Mytilus edulis: one gene and its partner. The protein of the gene in region 1 purifies or fractionates together with the protein of each later gene. This does not show direct contact. Links are inferred from orthologs where the notes say so. Each region holds a gene or a part of one and is shown on either strand. Other genes may lie near its edges.

Region 1 (11,262 bases):
CCTAACCCTAATGCTGTCTATAACCCTAACCCTAGTTCTGTCTATAACCCTAACCCTAATGCTGTCTATAGCCCTAACCCTAAATCTGTTTATAACCCTAACCCTAATGATGTCTATAACCCTAACAATAATGATGTATATAACCCTAACCCTAATGATGTCAATAACACTAACCCTAATGATGTCTATAACCCTTACCCTAATGCTGTATATAACCCTAACCCTAAGTCTGTCTATAACCCTAACCCTAAGTCTGTCTATAACCCTAACCCTAATGATGTCTATAACACTAACCCTAATGATGTCTATAACCCTAACCCTGATGCTGTATATAAGCCTAACCCTAATGTTGTCTTTAACCCTTACCCTGATGCTGTATATAACCCTTACCCTAATGCTGTATATATCCCTTACCCTCATGTTGTCTTTAACCCTAACCCTTATGCTGTGTATAACCCTAACCCTAATGCTGTCTATAACCCTAAACCTAATGCTGTCGATAACCCTAACCCTAATGCCGTCTATAACCCTAATCCTAATGCTGTATATAACCCTAATCCTAAGTCTATCTATAACCCTAACCATAATGCTGTCTAAAGCCCTAACCCTAATGCTGTCTATTACCCTAACCCTAATGCTGTCTATGACCCTAATGCTCTCTATAACCCTAACCCTAATGCTGTCTATAATACTAACCCTAATGCTGTCTATAACCCTAACCTAATGCTGTATATAACCCTAACCCTAAGTCTGTCTATAACCCTTACCCTAATGCTGTCTATAACCCTAACCCTAATGCTGTCTATAACCCTAACCGTAAGTCTGTCTATAACCCTTACCCTAATGCTGTCTATAACCCTAACCCTAATGCTGTCTATAACCCTAACCATAATGCTGTCTCTAACCCTAACCCTAATGCTGTCTAAAACCCTTACCCTAATGCTGTCTATAACCGTAAGCCCAAGTCTGTCTATAGCCCTTACCCTAATGCTGTCTAAAACCCTAAACGTAATGCTGTCTATATAACCTCACCCTAATGCTGTCTATAACCCTAACCCTAATGCTGTCTATAACCCTGACCCTAATGCTGTCTAAAACCCTAACCCTAATGCTGTCTATAACCCTAACCCTAATGCTGTATATAACCCTAACCCTAAGTCTGTCTATAACCCTAACCCTAATGCTGTCTATAACCCTAACTCTTATTCTGTCTATAACCCTAACCCTAATTCTGTGTATAACCCTAACCCTAATGTTGTCTATAACCCTAACCCTTATGCTGTCTATAACCCTAACCCTAAAGCTGTCTATAACCCTAACCCTAATGCTGTCTATAGTCATAACCCTAATGCCGTCTTCAACCCGAACGCTTATATTTGATGATGAAATTTATTAATGTGCGTGTCAAGCTTTTTTTTTATTATTAAACTTTGATGGTTACAGAGATCTTATATTAAGTTTTGCATTCCCTTAAACGTGTACAGAGCAAGGATTTGCTATAAAATAGATTCAAATGAAGATTTAGGACTCAAATATAGCAAAATTAATATCCTTTTCATAAGTTTTTTGTATTTCACATCGAACTTGAATCTGTAGATAGTTGTTTTTATTTTTTATCACTGATTTAGGGTTCTTAGTGGAGAGTTTTCTCATTTTAAATCATACCACATCTTCTTATATTAGTGATCGACACATTGTTGTTCATAGTATTTGTGACATTTGTTGTTAATATAACACATTGTATTTATGTGAGATTAATTAAACACTTCTGCTATTAGAAACGTTTATAGTTTTTTTAATTGGAAAGATGCTTTTGTGCTTTTGTGTAAAATTGCTTGTTTTAAGATTGTAACATAGTGATGACTGCTGTACCCATATTCTGACTATTTTATTTATTATGTCTGTTTTGATCACGCATCGAGGTAAAAATAACGGAATTTTATGAGACTGTCGTACAAGTGAGAGGCTTAGCGCTATAAAACCAGGTTCAATCCACCGTTTTCTTGAAAATACCGGTACCAAGTCAGGAATATGACAGTTGTTGTCCATTCGTTTGATGTGTTTTGTCATTTGATTTTTGCCATGTGATTAGGGACTTTCCGATTTAACTTTTTTCAGAGTTGAGTATTTTTGTGATTTTCTTATTTTTTTCTTATAAAAACCCAAACTATGATGAACCTAGTATCAAGATTAAATAATGAAAATCTAAACCCACTTCTTAACGAAGCCTTTAAACTAACTAAAAATGTAGATATTAAAGGAACATACTCTTGGTTTACTTTTGGCAAAAATTTGTCACAAGAAATAAATATTGACATTAAACTTATTGAAGAAACTAAGACTTTACAACAGACTAAAAATTCAAAACCCCAATATTAAAAAAAGGTTACTATACTATTATCAAACTAAAATTGGTTATAAAATAAATGACTTGAATGATAATAGTAAAATATATCTATATAAATTTTTAATTTTGAAGTTACAAAACGATATTAACTTGTCTAAGGACATCAAGATAATGTTACAAGGGAAGGAATTAAAATACAATCCAAACCCCAAAAATTTAGGCCTTACTTTAGATGAAAAATGTAATTTCAATAAACACATAGACACTGTTGAGCAAAAAGCACAAAAAAATCCTTAGGGATAATCAGAAACATCAAGGGAATAGCAAAGGTATCTACAAAAATTTTAATACAAATGTATCAAAGTATAGTGCTGTGTGCAATGTTTTATGCTAGCAAATCAACAACAACACGCATATAAATAAATTAAATGCTATTCAAAGAAAAGGACTAGCCTTATGTCTCGACCAAACAACTACAGCTAATATAGAAACCTTAGAAGAAGTAGCAGGAATACTTCCACTGGACCTCAAAAGAGAACATGCCGGTATAAGACAAATTGCAAAAATAAAATATAAAGTCACTATCCCTATCCCTATTAAAGAAATTTTTGAAGATTGGAAAAATATAAATGAACCTGAAAAAATGATCTCACCAATTGGAAGAATGGTATTAGTCTGAAGACATGAAGAGGTCAACAGAGATTGATTCTGATTGTATAGAGTCTCAATTTGAATTCCGAGGGTAAGCAGCCTCAAAATCACCACCAGAGTATTGGAAAAATCTCGGAAGTTCAAAGTCTAGATTAGAGGAACAAGCATTTCAGGGAAAGACTATTAGTTTGGAAAAATACATCAACTAAAAAAATTCAACAATAGCTTTCACTGATGGCTCCTGCAAAGGAAACCCAGGTCCATGCGGGGCTGGGGCAGCTATTTCAATACCAAACAACACAGAACATGTGGAGTTAACATAGCCAGTTTCCAATAGAGGATCTATTTTATTAGGGGAATTAGTAGCTATCAAGCTGGTAATAGATTTTCTTATAAATCCAAACAACAAAAAAAAACACAGAATCCATCAAAATTTTCTCAGACAGCCAATCAGCAATTAGAATTCTAACTTTAAATTGGAAATTGAATAATTACGGCAAAACTATTCGTGATATTAAAATCGGTAAAATCGGTATTTTGGCACTAAAATCTGAAGGAATCATTGTTTCCATTAAATGGACCCCTGGCCACGCTGATATACAAGGTAAGGAACTAGCAGACCAACTAGCTAAAAAAGAAGCATAGGAGGCAGAAAAAATAGAAAGCATTCCAATATTTACAAAATAAGATATACAAAAAGGAGCAAAAGACAGTGTAACGTTAAAATGGCAAAACCGATCGGACACCAGTGATAAAGGAAGAAGATATTATTCCTTTCATCAAAATGTAAAAAATACACTTCCAAAAGACAAACCGTCAACTGAAATATATCGGATATCAACTAGTTTAAGAACAGGTTGTAGGTATCCCCATGGGCACTAATTGTGCCCCTTTAATGGCAGACTTGTTTTAGTACTGTTACGAATCACAGTTTATGACTAAACTCAGTAAAGACCCGTCGAAGTTGCATTTAATTGATAAATTCAACAACACTTACCGTTATCTTGATGATATTTTTTCGTTAAATAATCAAGAATTTTCTCAATATACTGCTGAAATTTACCCCAAGGAACTTACTTTAAATAGATCAAATTTATTCGGTCCTGGATATAGATATTTCGGTTTTAAACGGGAAACTCCACACTAAAATTTACGACAAAAGAGACGATTTTTCGTTCCCTATTGTTAATTTTCCAGTTTTAGATGGTGATGTTCCTTTGGCATCATCTTACGGTGTTTATATTTCACAACTTGTTCGCTATGCCCGTGTCTGTTGTGACGTTTTTGATTTTGACGATCGCAACCTATGTATTGCTGGTAAATTATTAAACCAGGGATATCGTTACCATAAATTACTTAAAACCTTTACTAATTTTTTCCATAGATATAAAGATTTGGTTTTGAAGTTTGGTTGTACCTGTAGAAAACTTATTTCAAACGGGATAGCACATCCTCATTTTTACGGAAATGTTGTTAACCGTGCCCGGAAATTTGGAAATAATCCATGTAAACTTGTCGCTCCTTTAAATAAACTTATTCTAAAAGGTTACCTATTCAACACTGTAGTAAGATCATTGAATATTGTTTTTATTGGTATAAATATTGATTTTGTTATCAGTAAATTAAAAGCTAACTAAATATTACCAGTATATTATATACATATACATATTCATGGATCTACAATATGTCGATACCTGTAACTTGGCATTGCACAGGGTCATGTTTTTCTCTGGCTGTTTATGACGTCTTTACACTAAATCCATTGGATGTTTGATGTGTACGGATTGATGGTTAAGTCTTAGATGCATGATTTTTTTTATTAGTTGTTAGAAGCTTTGAACTAGCTGTCAGATAACTGCGAGTACTCTCAGATCTGTTCATTGCGTCTTTTTGTGTCGGGATGTATAAGTACCCGGCCACTTCCACTTATATTTTTGTCCATCTGATGAGTTTAACCTTTTTCAACTGATTTTTATAGTTCGTTCTTATGTTGTACTGTTATACCACTGTCCCAGGTAAGGGGAGGGTTGGGATCCCACTAACATGTTTAACCCCGCCACATTATTTATGTATGTGCCTGTCCCAAGTCAGGAGCCTGTAATTCAGTGGTTGTCGTTTGTTTATGGGTTACATATTTGTTTTTCGTTCATTTTTTTTACATAAATAAGGCCGTTAGTTTTCTCGTTTGGATTGTTTTACATTGTCTTATCGGGGCCTATTATAGCTGATTATGCGGTATGGGTTTTGCTCATTGTTGAAGGCCGTGACCTATAGTTGTTTTAATGTCTGTGTCATTTTGGTCTTTTGTGGATAGTTGTCTCATTGGCAATCATATACCACATCTTCTTTTTAATATAGGATATTGTAATTTAAACTCATACAAATCAATGATATGCCCAGCAGTCATCGACAAATGCAGCTGTGGACAAATAGAAACAGTTGACCATTATCTTCTGTATTGTGAAAGTTATGAGGAGGCTAGAGAGAAACTCAGCTCTGCACTCTACTTCATAACATCAAAACTAACATTTGAATCAAAAGTATTATTAGCAACAACAGAAAATGAAAATTACAAACATCACATAGAAGATATTCAACATTTGTTAGGGGTCTTTATTAAAGATACTGGAAGGTTCACAAAATAGATAGTTAAGGTTTTATATAAGGGTTAATTATTTATTCATTTTTTTTTTAAATATTTTAAAATTTTTGTTATTTATTTATTTATTTTTCTCTGCAGTGCCACATCATAAATACAAATGTACTTATGAATTTTATACAACAGCGACATAAAATTACCAGAGTGATCGAAAATACAGAGAGATTATAGTGTCAAGTTGACACTTACTAAAGACTAAATTAAGACTTTAAATCTATAAATGACCAAATGCAATACTAACTTTCACACCCAAATAAAGAAACAAGAAACAAGAAATGTTAACCAAATTTAGAATAAGCGACCATTGTCTTTTGATAGAAACGATATTTAAAAAATACCAAGAAACGAAAGAAAATGTAAATGATATGTAATATCTTAGATGATGAATTCCATTTTCTCTTTAACTGTTCGCAAATAAAGAATGATACATCACACATCATTCTATAATATTCAAGAACATATATACACCATTTTCCACTAGAGCCATGTGATATTCAAAGTATTGACTACGTGCGGAAATAAGAAAATAGATAGATAGCGCTAGCACACCTATCTACTTTATAGGTGGCAACAGAGCTACCATAAATCAACACTTTAAACTAAAAAAATATTTTTTTTTAAGAATTAAAAAAAAATAAAACATATATAAAAATCAGATTTATTCATGGACGTAAACAATTTTAAAAAAGTAATTAAAATTGAAACAAAGTATAAAATTAATGAGATAGATATATTTTGTGTAATCACGCAGTAACGTGGTTAATGGAGGCCGCCATATTTTGGATGAAAACAAACTTGTTGAAAGTCGAACCCTGCTTTAATGTTTCGTCTGGTTTCGTCAATTATCGTGATTTATCAATAACAATTTGTACTGAAATTTAAAGGAACATTTACTTTGAAATTGAAACTGTCATTTAAAATCATGGACGATAAGGGTAGCCCGTCGTCATCTCTAAACTCAGCGAGCACCGGCGACACAGGTCATCTCTTGCATGAGCTTATGAACTTGCAGAAATCAAATGGTAAATTATTAAACACATGAAAAACACCGTGATGATTTAATATTAATGGAACGAACACAAATAAGAAAACACCATGAAACATGTCGAACCCTTGTAGCTAAAGAATAACAGTTTAGGCACTGGCTATAGTTTGGAAACAACAAATTATTATAATGTCTTTTTTTAATGAAAAATTATTGTTAGTTGCTGCATTAAATTATTATTGCTGTAGTCAAGGTCAGATAGGGTACTGATTTATAATTACGGATGTATCCTGGTCTCATCGGTTTTCTTGCTATCATAATCAAGAATTCATTGTGACGTCCCGTTTGTTTATATCCCATAGTACATCATTAAGAGAGAACCAAGTTATAGTGAACTACGTTTAATATACAGCATGGTTAATCTACATTTTTTACAAGAATAACATGTGTAACACAGTTGGGCGTGAGTGCCAGTGCACATGAGTTATTACACGTGCATTATCAAAGTACTGAAATACGGGAAGGTCTAAAAACAGGACAGGTAAAACCAGGACAGTTATTTTCGATACGTTTTTATCTGTAACTTTTGTTTTACTCAACATATTGTTAAAATTTAAATTTCATAATAAAGAACATGGTATTTACTTATATTATTTGCAAAAAATATAAAAATGAATAATAACTAAGTTAAAAAAAATCTGCCAGGACAGTTTAATTTTATGAAAAAAATGGCTGAAATTGCCGAGAAAAGTTTACTTATAATTGAAATATTTTTCCCAAAACAAAAATCTGGCATAATATTTTTGTACGATTATAAAGATTATGAAATATTCATTCTAAAAATCTATAATTTAATATTTTTTTCAGCTTTTAAAGGTAAAAAAATCTGCCAGGACAGTAGCCTTTCACGTTGGAAATTTTGTTGAAATTATTTCAAAATACAAATACAAAGTTAAATATCTTCTTCAAAATAAATGTCTGGTAAACAAATGTTAGTTCATTGAAAAGTTTAGAATATAAGCTTTATGAAAATATAAAATTATATGAACTTTTATGTCATTAACACCAAAAAAATCTGCCAGGACAGTAGCCTACTCCGCTAAATTTTAAGAAACAAATGGCTGAAATTGTCGAGAAGAGTTTACCTATAATTGTTATATTTTCTTCAGTACAACTGTCTGGCATAATATTTTTGTATGATTATAAAGATTATGGAATAATCTTTCTAAAAACCTATGAATTGATATTTTTTTCGTCTTTTAAAGGTAAAAAAAATCTGCCAGGACAGAAGAATTTTATGTTAGAAATTTTGTTGAATTTGTTCAAAATCAAAGTATAAAGTTTAATATCTTCTTCAAAATAAATTTCTGGTAAACAAATGTTAGTTCATTTAAAAGTTTAGAACATAAGCTTTGAGAAAATATAAAATGATAATTCATTAACGACAAAAAAATCTGCCAGGACAGTAGCCTACTCCGTTTGAATTATCAGCTGGACATTAGCTTAATATGCTACATGTTTTATAAATGGCAGAAATAAACATTATTTTTAATCATAAATAAAATAGTATATTTATTAACTTATCTGTCTTTTTTTTAAATGATAATTAGGACTAAATCATTAAAAATAAAACTATAAATTAAAAACAAATTTGCCAGGACAGTACTATTACATAGGAAGAAGTGAAGAATTCTCAAAGATTTTTTTTATTCTATTCAAAGTGTTCAGTTTGAAATTTATCCGTGATAGAGTCATTAAAGTGAATATTTCTAGAAAACATAATTATATTGGTGTGGTTATTAAAACACTATTTGTTGATTTAATTCGATTTCTATTCATTGTATCAAAGGCAGAATTATGTTTTGACAGTAATAAAAACTTCAAAGTCACTGATTGGTGTCAAATACTCAAAAGGTGTTTATTCACTAATAAGTAATGTGTTTAGAGCACAGGAAAGTGTCACTTTTTTTATCCTCTTACATAAAACTGGAGAGTTTCCAAATGTTGCATTTTTTAACTTCTTTTTGCAATTTACACCTTTACATGTTTTCTAATGAATCAAATTTGCCATGCACAGTCACAATTCAGTACATTCCACAACACTAGTTAACCTTTTTCAACAAAAAAAAAATCACGAGATAATCTATACTAGTTCTAGTTGTTCTACATGTACCCAACCTGAAAAACAAAATTATAGAGCATTTGCAATTGCGAATATCCCACAATCTATTGCATTAATTAAATTTTATCTTTAAATATAAAATCAATTAGTTTTCCTAAAATTCAAGCTAAATATCTTCATTACCACACACTCACTTTACGGTTGACATGACAGAATATACAAATACACAGATTCGATGACAGATCGTTAAGTTTAGCACGTGCCAACTAAATATTTAGCTATAGGACGACTCATGGGACACTTTTTATGAAATTCATCTATTATCAAATGAATATTTTTATCTTTTCCCAAAATTTAATGCTAAAACTTAACAACGAATTATAACAACAAAAAGTAATAATCTATCCAACTTTCGATTTTGATTTGAAACAAATTTGTCCACAAGTTGAGACATAATAAGTAACTGTCCTGGCAATTTTTTTTATTCACTTTTTTTTTTTAATTTTATGATTGGGTCTAGCTTTTACTTAATGGTAGTATCAAAATTGTACTTTAGACAATCGCAAAAAAAAACTATTCCAATATTATATTTAAAAAAAAATAATTGCGTTGTTAATTTCTGCAATTAATTCAGAAATTTAACGGGCATAGGACATTTGAGCGAAAAAGAAAAAAGCACATAGGGTCATTTGAGCGCCGACTTCATAGGACATTTGAGCGCCGGGATATTAACCTTACCTGAGTTTTCAGACAGGACATTTGAGCGAAATTTTCCCTGATAATTTTACACGAATTAAGATTTTTTTTTAAAAGTAAGAAAAAAAAGTAAGATTTAGTTATAAATATTTTTTATTTTATTTCACACCCGAGTAATTCGACCGGTTCTGGCTGGTTTATGTAAGTGAAATCCTAAGTTGATCTCTATTTACCAATCAATTCTACTATAATTCATTGGCTATGCAAATTTTCTTTGTTCTAAAATTCTTATATATATATCTATTAAGTGAAATGTCCCTTGGCACTTGAAATCTTAATACTAATAATACATGTACGTGTTAAAATGGATATTATTTTGACCGAGACTAATAAGGGAAAAAGAAGCCTTGTTTGTGACAGTTTCCGATATAGAGTGGACAAAACACTAAAAGGAGAAGAAATATCCTGGAGATGTACAGTAAGTACCTTTTTTTACAAATTTAATGTTAATGTAAACTACTTGTTCGTCTGTTACGCTTCAACTTCCATAACTTCTTTTAATTTTGATTTATATCTATATCATTATATGTCTATCTTATACCTCCTTTAGATTAATTTTTTAACACATTTGAATATAAGCTACCACATATAGGGTTAGGTATCAAGGCTCCATGTTGAAGGTCGTACTGTAACCTATATAACATTGTTAGGTTGATTTTCTAGGCACTTTACAATATTCATACAATACACTGTAAAAATTGTGCTTAGAGCCTAAACATGTTTAGGAAAATGTTTAGAAGCTAAACACATAAATGTCTGTGGTGTTCCCATTCTAAACATGTTATGAATTTCATTTCATTTCATTTCATACTACATCTTATTTTTATGTCTTGCAATAGCAAATGAAAAAGCATTTAAACACTTCAATTGTATTTGTCCTTTCAATATTTTTCAGGCAAAAGGTTGCAAAGCAAGACTGAGGACGGATTGTACCGGAACCGTTATAATTCAACAGAAAAATACTCATAACCATGATACCAGTGATCGTGACAATGAACGTCACTTGCTGCGGGTACGATCAAAAAAAAAAGCGGATGATGATATTGCTCAACGTCCTTCAAAAATTATCCGTACAGAGTTACAGAACATGGATGAAGCAAATCTAAAGTCTGAAGACATTGGCAGCGTTTCAAAGGCTATATATAGAAAGAGGCGTAAATCTCACCCTGCACTTCCTAAATCTAGAGAGGAAACACACCAATCATTAAAGAAGATTAATATTCAGTCAAATAAATTTGAAAATTTTGTGCAGTTTAATGATGAACAAACTGGTATAATTATTCTTACGTGTCCAACCAATCTTGAATGTTTATGCAGTGTGCCCGAAATTTTTATGGATGGTACTTACAAATATTGCCCAAAGTTCTTTAAACAGTTATATACTATTCATGGCTATAACAAAGGAAATTATGTCCCTCTTGTATTCTGCTTACTTCCTGGAAAGTCTGAAGAAATTTACGTGAATTGCTTTTCCTCAATTGTCAAGCTATGTTCCGATCAAGGTCACACACTTCAACCGAAAGCAGTACACGTCGATTTTGAAGAACGGGTAATGAAAGTTATGAAGGATTTTTTCCCGTCTATAGAGATCAAATGCTGTAGGTTTCACTTAGGCCAAGCCTGGTGGCGAAAAATCCAGAAAGTTGGACTTAGTCAACAATACAAAGAGCTTGATTCAGACATTAGTAAATGGCTTAAAGGGATTTTTGGGATAGCCTTTTTAGCTCCAGACGAAGTAGCCG
Region 2 (10,535 bases), on another chromosome or scaffold:
CAGAATATTTGTCTAACAAAATCTCCTATGCTACAAATAAAAATGGAATGCAACTTAGATCAAATACTACCCAATTACTTAATATACCAAAGGCAAGAACAAACGCATTTAGAAGATCTTTTTCATATTCTGGCCCAACTTTATGGAATAAACTACCAGAAGCACTAAGACATATGTCAAACATAAATACTTTTAAAACAAACTGCTTTAAGTTTTTACTTGAAAATCCAGGAATTATTTAAATGACTACGTATCAATTTTGATTTATGTTTTCTTATGTTTATCTTTGTTATGAAGAAATTGTGTGAATTGCATTGTGAGTGGAGTGTGAGGGCCTCAAGGGAGAATAGTGTTTGTACTAATTGAGCATACCCTCTTGAAATAAAGATTATTATTATTATTATTATTATTATTATGCAGAATATGCGAAGAATAGATAGTGGATTTTCTTTAAAAATATTAATTCCTTACTGTCAAAACTCAGTGTTACACGGTGTGTTCAATTCGAACGTGTCAACGTCCGGTTTCATCTGTATCGGGGTTATACAGGGTGAATCTACACAATATCATGTAAAACACTGTAGGTATATTGTTTTATTGCATATATAATATAAAAAATTAAAAATTGAAAATGGGGGAATGTGTCAAAAGGACTACAACCAGACCAATGAGAATACAACAGCCAAAGGCCACCAATAGGTCTTCAATGCAGCGAGAAACTCCCACACCTGGAGGTGTTCTTCGGCTGGCCCCTAAACAAAAAAATCTACTATTTCAACTTCAGTGAAAATGGACGTCATACTAAACTTCGAAATATACACAAGAAACTACAATTGAAAAACATACAAGACTAACTACATGTATATATATAACTATATATTTATATAAAACAATGTCCTTATTGCATATAAGTCATAATGATAATAATCACAAACAAGAATGTGTCCCCAGTACACGAATGAACCACTCGCACTATCATTTTCTATGTTCAGTGGACCGTGAAATTGGGGTAAACCCTCTAATTTGGCATTAAAATTAAAAAGATCATATCATAGGGAACATGTACTAAGTTTGAAGTCGATTGGACTTCAAATTCATCAAAAACTACCTTGACCAAAAACTTTAACCTGAAGCGGAACAGACGGACGAACGAACGGACGAACGAACAGACGGACGAACGGACGCATAAACCAGAAAACATAATGCCCCTCTACTATCGTAGGTGGGGCATAAAAACAAGGCAAGGTATACAAACATAGACAAACATAAGCTCTAATGAGCTTTTAACCAACATAGATGGAATTTCACTTCTCAAAGAAGTTGACAACATCCCTGTACTCTCTCATGGAAGGAGAAGTCATTTCTCCCTCTCCAAAATATAAGATTAGACCCCGATTCATCATATTGAGCAAAGACATCAGTTATGATTGCTGATATGTTTGTGAAAAACTCCTACAGAAATATCCAGTCCAAAAATTGAAACTTGTTCATTTAAAAGAACAGGGCATTATGAAAAATGTCAAGATCACTTTCACATAATTTTGTCTAAAAAGTCAACAGTTGTAAGAAGAGATTGCACACAAGATTTACACATTTCTAGATCAAAAATCTATTATAGCAGAACTTTATTATAAAGCACAACACTGAACACTTACAAAAGTATATATGCTAATGTTTTCCTTATAAACTAGTTTTGATAAAGGAGATTGAATTGTCTCCCTTTGTACACTTAAAAATTGTGACAAGCAATGTGATGAAAATGTAAGTTAAGGATGATAATTAATACTTTTTTTAATTAATAAATGTATCTAAAAGTTATATTAACAGGCTATTATTTCAACTTGGATTTTTTTTAAATTATGGAATTTGCACAATTGCTTAATTTTTAATAAATTCCCTGTTTATTCTGTATTTAATGTTCTGTGCGGTGCACAACACTTTCTATTACAAAGACGATAGCACATTTTCAATAGAATGTCCTGCGCCACACACAACACTATCAATACGAAAAACATTGTATGAAAAGTGTAATGCACCACTCAAACATTAAAGTAGAGAACAAACATGGAATTTATCAAATATTTCAAGCACAAGAAATTATCCTAATTCCATGATTAAAAATAATTCTTAGTTGAAATAACAGCCTGTTTATTATTACTATCAATCATTAATTAACCAATCTATGGTTTCATTATAAAATTGCTGTCTTTTATCAAGTATTTTGTCCCATCTTACAATCTACAGTGATGGCATATTTTAGAGCCAGGACTATAAAAACACAAGTAGTTGTCTCCCATCTAACAGGAGAACAAATAAATTTGTATATTATCTTTTAACCAATTGAACCTTAGATAAATACATTCACCTATTGGTCAAGAGGGAGGAAAACATGTTCAATGATTAAAAAATCTTTTTGTTAAATGGCATGTTCTCAAATTACGTAATTATACCTGTTCAATTAGATATGCTGAATTATGCAATAAATTAATAATCACCTAAACAAGTTTCATGATTTACTTATTAAATCAATTAATATGCAACATATGTTCCGTCATTATATAACAAATATATTTTAGAGGAGTACATGTATTTGAAAAGTCACTATGAAACAAAGTTTATCTTTTTGCATATACCTCGTCCTGTATGTATATATAATTCGTATATATAATTAGTCTTTCCTAAATTGAGGTAAATTTTATGGCCTTCCAAAAACTGTTTGGATCCCTAACATCACAGAAGAGACATTAATTGTCGAAATCTGGATATTGTGTTCTAATTTTTGCATCTTTTGTTTGCAGTATACTATCTTTTCCCCAAGTTTTATATTGTTTTCTGTTTGGTATTTAATTCATAATAAAGACACATTTTGTTACACATTGTGATCCATTTATTTAGCAATCACCAATGTCAGTCAGCAGGGTTTAAGAACATCAGCTGTTCGACCTGTTAGTCAAATACGCTTTGTAAAACTTTTGTTAAAGTATACTTTTCACTTTTTTGGTCTTTTAGAAAATGTTATTTGTGCTGTATTTAGACCCCTCTACCAAGAAATTTGTTTTGCATCCTCATATATATATTCAAAAAGTACTATCATAGGTTTATGAGTTAAAAAAGACATTTCAATTTTAAAGCCAAAAAATGGCATTTTTCCACCAAAGGGAGATAATTTGGAACTTTTTCAATGATGTATACATTTTAAAAGTCATCTGGGGCCAACACAAATTGTTTGTATTGAATGATTTTTGTACCATATAATAAGTAACAACTACAAAAGGTAACAAATAAAATTTGAAATGAAAAACAAATGTTTATTTTTTTTCTGAAATTTTTATACCCTCGAGCCTCCTTAAGTCTTTATTGTTGGTCCTACATGTTCTGCAACATCACCTGTTAGTGCTTAGAAATCTTCACATAGGCAGTCTGGTATAGACCAATCATGGAAAAAAGACTTCTCCTTGGGTTTTAACTTTTATACACAGATACATGTAATATGAAGATTATAAGAATTTACAAAAGAGAAAAATACTCTTCTTCTATATCCAGATATTAACTATGGTCAGCAGGGTTCTCCCCAGATATTTCATTTGGCATCCTGGTAAACAGGGAAAATTTAAACTATCTTGTTTCTAAAAATTATAGCATCACATCCATAACATTTATATAATCTATAATAAAACCATTTCAAATAGCATCACATTTAAGATTATAGCATCATATTACCATGATGTTAAAAGGCCCTGGGGAGAACACTGGTCAGGTTGTTGACTTTTTGACACATTTCCCATTTCCATTCTCAATTTTATTTTGATAACATTAACAAACAAAGGGGTAACTTCCATGAGTATGATGAGGACACCAATACAAGAGAAAACATCAATAGCATAATATAAGAAAAACACAAATTACAAATCAATTTCAAACAAACTGCGCGCCGTGACAAAGTTACTGAGAATTGTCGGAAATTACGCGCTTACCACAGCGCTATCCAAAAATCTTGGGGAGAACACTGACAGAGATATCAGTTAAAGGCCGATTTTGCGCTGAAAAATGGTAAATGTGATCTGTATTAATATATATTACATCTGGCCCTATTGAAGCAAAGGGGAGGTTGGGCCAGGATGCAAGGCAGCTTAGGCTAGTAGGAAAGGGGATTAGATTGCAGTTTAATGTAAAAAAACAATCATATTTGCTACATTCCCCCCACATTATTTGGTTATTATTTTAAAGAATACTGCTACTTTAAATGCTCATCAGACTTTATCATGTTTATGTTTGTATGTTTTTCCTCTGAAGAATCAAAATAAATGTTTCTGTGCCTTAACAAAAACAACTGTCATCTCAAACAGAGATCAATAGTCAATACATACATTGCTGAACATCTATGAGGGTAGTAATGGGGTACATGAACCTTTATGACAAATTAAACAGTTAAAACTCTGCACAATGAAGTAAACGGTTTTTTGGTGCATGAGGATTATTTTGACGCATCACATTAATTGTTTCAAAAAATAATGCATACAATAATTATTTGAAACCTCTCGCAACATAATAAGGATACTGTGATCATGGTAATGAATCATGATAACATTTTTACCAACTTGACGCAAACTGTAGCCAAAAATACGTTTGAAGCCTGACAGTAAGGGGCATTACTGCCCACAGGCTCATGTATACAATGTAATAGGGCTCTTCACGGTTAGTTCGGCCATATTGGATAGGGGGCAGATTTTTTGGAAGGAGGTGGAAATGGTATGAAAGTGTGGGAAATCCTATGTGTGTTTCCAAGCAAAAGCTCTGTTTTAATGATGTTTTCCCGTATTTTTCACACCATTTTTACCTCTATTATGAAAATCTGCCCCCTATCCAATATGGCCGAACTAACCGTGAAGAGCCCTATTATATGGTTCAGTCTTCAGATAATCTAACACTATGAATTTTGTAAATTGTAGTGTTTTTACCTATTGAATTAAAGTCACACAAATAAACTAATATCAGAAGTTCAAATAATCTATAAAGACATCGTGGGTGACAGTTTCTCAAAATGTCATATAGCAATTGCAAAGAAAAACTTCTTTATTCTTAAGTTAAAAATAGAAGATTTATCATAATAATATGACAAGCAGTAAAAGTAGAGGGTGTTTTTACAGAAACATGCTAATTAATCAGTGAAATGATTAACACAAACCCATTCGCTTGACTTCGAACTAAAGGAATATAAGGCAACTTGAGACGCAGTGTCAACTATGTCCGTTATATACGGATCTCTTTGCTGCAAAGCAGCCAAATTCATTCGACCTTCCGCCATTTCCGCTGATCGATGAAGCCTCGCATTGAATATTTACTCCGTTACATTTATTATAAATAGCATTGCTTTAAAATACAAACAAATAACAACATGCAAATAAGTATAGCTCTTTACAAATGTTATATTTTAATTAATGATTTTCCATTATTCAATTAATTTTTGGTGACACACTTACTTAAATTGAAAACAGGTGCCCGAAATTTGATCAAGCGGCACACTTACGTTTCACGGTACAGCGAACACAAGTGTACCTTTACTTCAGTGTCGTATGTCGATGGATTACCGCAACATATATTTACCGTGAAAAGAAGTGAAAAATAGTTTTTCCCCGCAATTTACAAATGGAAAGATGAAAAATATACCAATAATATGGAAGAAAACCCCGGATGATGATGATACAAGAAAAAAGACAAAAATGGACGAATTTGATGATTTGTAGCAAAAATTATTTTAGGATTTTTCTCAGTTTTAAGATCCAAAAATGGACAATAAAGGTCCAGGTAAGAACTTAATATTCCGTGTGGAAACCTTTATTATAAAATCTGTGTAAGCATTCATAAATTATTGATGTTTTATCAATGGATGAGTGATAAACATGGCACCCTCCTGTTGGTTACTGATGCTTAAGTAAAGATGGAAATAAAATGTTTGCATTGTATTTTCTACAATCAAAGAGGGCTAAAGATAAACTATTTAAAACAGCTCTCCTCAATTAGAGAAAATAGTTTGCTGTAAAAAATATGTTTTTTATTTTTGATTTGAAAAAAAATTAAGGACAAAATTAGCTGTAAATTTAGGGATAGATTTTTTTTTAAATTTTGTTTTATAACATTTTTTCCAGAATATTTATCAATTTATACAAATTTGCATTTAAAAATAATAATAATATAACATGTAGCCTCCAAAGTCAATGAGTAGACATCAATAAATTGATTATGTAAAAATGTAGATTAGAAATGTTAAAGATGTTCATACATTGTAATGATGTAGGGAAATTCCCAGTTATTACAAATTTAGTGATCATGTTTCATGAGTTAGAAGTGTTCTATTATACAATGAGAAAGTGACCATTTCCTCATTTCATAATGCTTTTTGCTTTAGAATGTTATCAGAAGTGTGTATTGCCTAGTTTAAATAAAAAGACAAGATTTTCATATTTGATTTGATTTAGGAGTGCAAAACAAAAATATATTTCATTCTGATGTATATGAAATGTTTATTTAATTATTATTTTAAAATTTGGTTAAAAATTAATTCCATTTTCCTATTAAAAGTAATAGTAATATATACATTTTCTATTATTAAAATCTACCTAACCAAAAAGGCATATATACATATTATAATAAAAGAAGATGTGGTACATGTATGACTTCCAATAGGACAACTCTCCACAAGAGACCAAAATGACACAGAAATTAACAACTATAGGTCACCGTACGGCCTTCAACAATGACCAAAGCCCATGTACATATATACTACCAAGGATTTGTATCGTAAGAAGGATTGCAATGTTGTGGACTTTGGCATCTAGACTGTTTACAATGTCTTATGCAGTTCAAGATCACTATACAAATCCTTGGTACTACTTATTAGAATTCAAATAATAAGGAATAATACAGTTTGACTGTAAACTACATTGTACATGTACTGATGTAGCAGGGACGGAACCTGGCATTTGTATAATGGGGGGGTTCCAACTTTATGTCCCCATTCAAATGCATTGATTGTCAAGAAAAAGGGGGGTTCTAACCCATTTAAAGGATTATTAATATCTATCCTGGACCTTTTTTATATAGATTAGACCGTTGGTTTTCCCATTTGAATGGTTTTACACTAGTAATTTTGGGGCCCTTTATAGCTTGTTGTTCGGTGTGAGCCAAGGCTCCGTGTTGAAGGCAGTACATTGACCTATAATGGTTTACTTTTTTAAATTATTATTCGGATGGAGAGTTGTCTCATTGGCACTCACACCACATCTTCCTATATCTACTTAAAATTATATTTTATATGATATCTTGGACCTATAACAACGTTTGAAAGATAGAAATATTGCTCTTCTGTCCAATCTTCCTGCAGAGAAGTTGCACGCAGATAAAGGGGGCTCATGGGTATAAATGATTTTTTTTTTAAATATATAGGATTTTACTATTTTTTTTATATAAATGAACTTTATCATATACTAAATAGAAAAATAGAATAGAAAAATAGAATAAAAGTGGGGTCACCGTTCATTTGAGCTCACAATCTGCTATCCTAAGAAGCATGCATTTTTGTTTTAAGGTACTTTTTTCTGTTGAACTACATGTATAATAGGAGAAAAATATGTACATTGTAATATCGAAATAAAAAAAGAACTAAATTACAAAAATCCCATAAATTTTACAATTGTCTAGTTTACAAAATGTAAGTAGTTTATTTGAAAATAATGGGGAAAAAATATAGGTCAACAATGAGTTTAAAAAGATATCAGAAATGTCATTTTTGCACCAAAGGGAGATAACTTGAGCTTTTTCAATGATATACATATGTTTCAACTCATCATGGCCAAAAGGAATCAATTTTTGGGGTTGATTTTTGTGCCATATCATAAAGTAAGAATTAAGTGTAATAACTAAAATTTATAATAAAGAAAAAAAACAAGTTTAAAATTTTTCTAAAATTTTTGAACCCTCCAGCCTCCTGCTACATTTGTGTACATGTACTTCAAATTTTGTTTGTCACCACATATTTTTTGTTATATATTATACTTGACAGTGAATTCAAAGATGTTTAACAAGTTATTTCAACAGTACCATAAATATATCTGCAACAAATGTACATGTATCAATAATCTGAACACTTTTGTGACAACCCTTCAAAGGAACTAATAGGGAAGTAGTTATTTGAGAGCCTTTGGGCCCCAACTGGGAATGTGCTTTAGTCAAATTTTTATACATATATATGCATATTTTTACATAAAATTCAGAATGGAAATGGGGAATGTGTCAAAGAGAAACAACCTGACCAAAGAGCTAAAGACAGCTGGAGGCCAGCCCATCAATGCACATCTACCCTACACCCTACAGAAAATATAAGAAACTAACCAAAAACGAATAGATTAAACAAACAGATTTATTTTTAAATTTAGTTTTTAAATGTTTTAAAGAACAATTCTCTAAATAGTAATAACAAGATGTGGTATTAGTGCCTATGACACAACTCCCCATCCAAAGCCACAATTTATTAAAAGTAAACAATTATAGGTCAAAGAACGGTCTTCAACACTGAGATTTGGCTCACATCGAACAGCAAGCTATAAAGGGCCCAAAAACTAGTGAAAATTTATACCAATTCAAACATAAAAGCCAAGGTTTATAAATCTATATAAAAGATATGAGAAAGCCTGATTTCTTTTTGGCAGTTTTTTATACATGTATTTTGAAGGAAAAACAATTGAATAGCAAGCTTGTTTTTCTCATCTATAGGGTGTTTTGAGAATTAAAGAAAAAATATGATGATTATATAAACATAAAATGAGTTTTACTGTATTTACAGGAAATGATCTGTATTAATAATTAGGATTATTATGATTAGATACAAAATGTAACTTAAATGTATTGATTATTTGATGAATAGAGGAGGAATGTATGATGTAAGAAGTATGGAGGGATTGTCAGCTAGAGATAAACATTCTTAATTAGAACCATACTACACCAATTTAATGTAACGAAACAGTGGGCATCTCTGGATGATGGTCTATCATCTCAGTATCAGACACACATGCTATTTATATTAATGTTCATATATAAGAATGTAAACTCTGTGAGCAGGGGGATGTATACTTTTTGTCAGGGTGGGTTGGATGTTTACTCTGTGGTTAGAGAGTTTGTCCACTATTTAATTTATATTCGGTGGCTGCAACAAAGAAAGTATTCTTGAGACAGGGTGATGGAACACAATTGTGAAATAATCTGTTCTCTCATGTTCTCTGATACTCCTTGATAGAACTAATTTTATTTTAACACAAATGGGGTCAATTAAGGAAAGTTTGTTCTGCACAATTATTAACCTATAATTCTTAGCCAGAGTTGTTCAAGTGCAACTGAACTACATGTTTATTTGTTTCTGACAAGTAAAGAATTGCACAAATGGGGTATGACAAATTTCACCTTTCACCAATTAAAAAAATCTCAATGTTTATGAAAATCAATGGCAGTTTCCTCATTGTTCCTGTGGTAATTTGAAATTCTACCATTATTAATAGCAGCAGAGGCGGATTTAGGGGGGGGGGGGGCAAATTCATGAGCAGGCTTAAGAGGGGGCCCACTCCAGTTACGCTTCAGTGATTCCCTATATAAGCAACAAAAATTTTGGTTGCTTATATAGGGAATCACTGAAGCGTAACTGGAGCGGGCCCCCTCTTAGGCCAGTCATTGGGCCCCCACTTATAAAAATTTCTGGATCCGCCACTGAGCATAATGTGATTTTATGAACATATACATGTATATACACATTAAGATAAAACATTAAAAACTTGTAATGATAAACTTAAAGTATAGAAATAGTTTGGAAAAAAAACCTATGCACATTTTAATGACATATATACACATTTGTACATGTATTATCATTTAAAAGCATATTGTTTAGTCATATTAGTCTTTTTTTTGTCTCGACTTTTGTAAGGTGTAATTTACATTTTGATTTTATTTAAACCTACATGTACCCTTAATTTGGTTAAATAACATAAAATCTTGGAATCAGAAGTGACAGCACGATGTTAATGTTTGTATATACTTGTGACAGTTTTCTTTGTTCAATATAGAATAATTCTTTGTTCACTGTAGGTTCTGTTAATAATTGATAACTTCTGATTAGCAGGTTTATAGCTAACAACAATTAACTGGTACCTTTGTTTGTGGTTACTGAATCAGTACCAGTGGAATCCCATTACTAACAATAATGGAATTTTGGTCTTGGAATTACATTAAATAGACATAAAAACTCATTCAGCATTAAGAATATTTATTGTTCCAATTAAGGGCTCTTGACCGACAGCTTGACATAAATTTATACACAAAACATTATCCTATGCTATATATGGAGGCTGCAAGCATTTATACACAAAACATTATAATATGCTGTGGTGGCTGCAAGCATTTATACACTGCTATGGTGGCTGCAAGCATTTATACACCAAACATTATATGCTATGGTGGCTGCAAGCATTTATACACAAAACATTATCCTATGC

Evidence for each region. The genes of interacting proteins can lie anywhere in the genome.
Region 2: the proteins of enhancer of mRNA-decapping protein 4-like (region 1) and mRNA-decapping enzyme 1B-like purify together in Homo sapiens (affinity purification with mass spectrometry; 3 studies listed by BioGRID and IntAct, with this or other methods). This does not show direct contact. The link is inferred for Mytilus edulis from reciprocal best matches to the Homo sapiens genes EDC4 and DCP1B.

The regions. Positions count from the first base shown.
Region 1 is NC_092348.1:37,221,858-37,233,119, forward strand, and holds the start of enhancer of mRNA-decapping protein 4-like, read left to right. Parts: upstream 1-6,336; 5' UTR 6,337-6,579; coding exon 6,580-6,679; intron 6,680-9,689; exon of another isoform or gene 9,690-9,824; coding exon of another isoform or gene 9,825-9,938; intron 9,939-10,415; coding exon of another isoform or gene 10,416-11,262. Other genes in the region: uncharacterized protein, read left to right, coding at 9,825-9,938, 10,416-11,262. UniProt on the Homo sapiens protein: In the process of mRNA degradation, seems to play a role in mRNA decapping. Component of a complex containing DCP2 and DCP1A which functions in decapping of ARE-containing mRNAs. Promotes complex formation between DCP1A and DCP2.
Region 2 is NC_092344.1:319,634-330,168, reverse strand, and holds the start of mRNA-decapping enzyme 1B-like, read right to left. Parts: upstream 5,342-10,535; 5' UTR 5,306-5,341; coding exon 5,186-5,305; intron 1-5,185. Other genes in the region: muscle calcium channel subunit alpha-1-like, read left to right, coding at 5,787-5,805. UniProt on the Homo sapiens protein: May play a role in the degradation of mRNAs, both in normal mRNA turnover and in nonsense-mediated mRNA decay. May remove the 7-methyl guanine cap structure from mRNA molecules, yielding a 5'-phosphorylated mRNA fragment and 7m-GDP.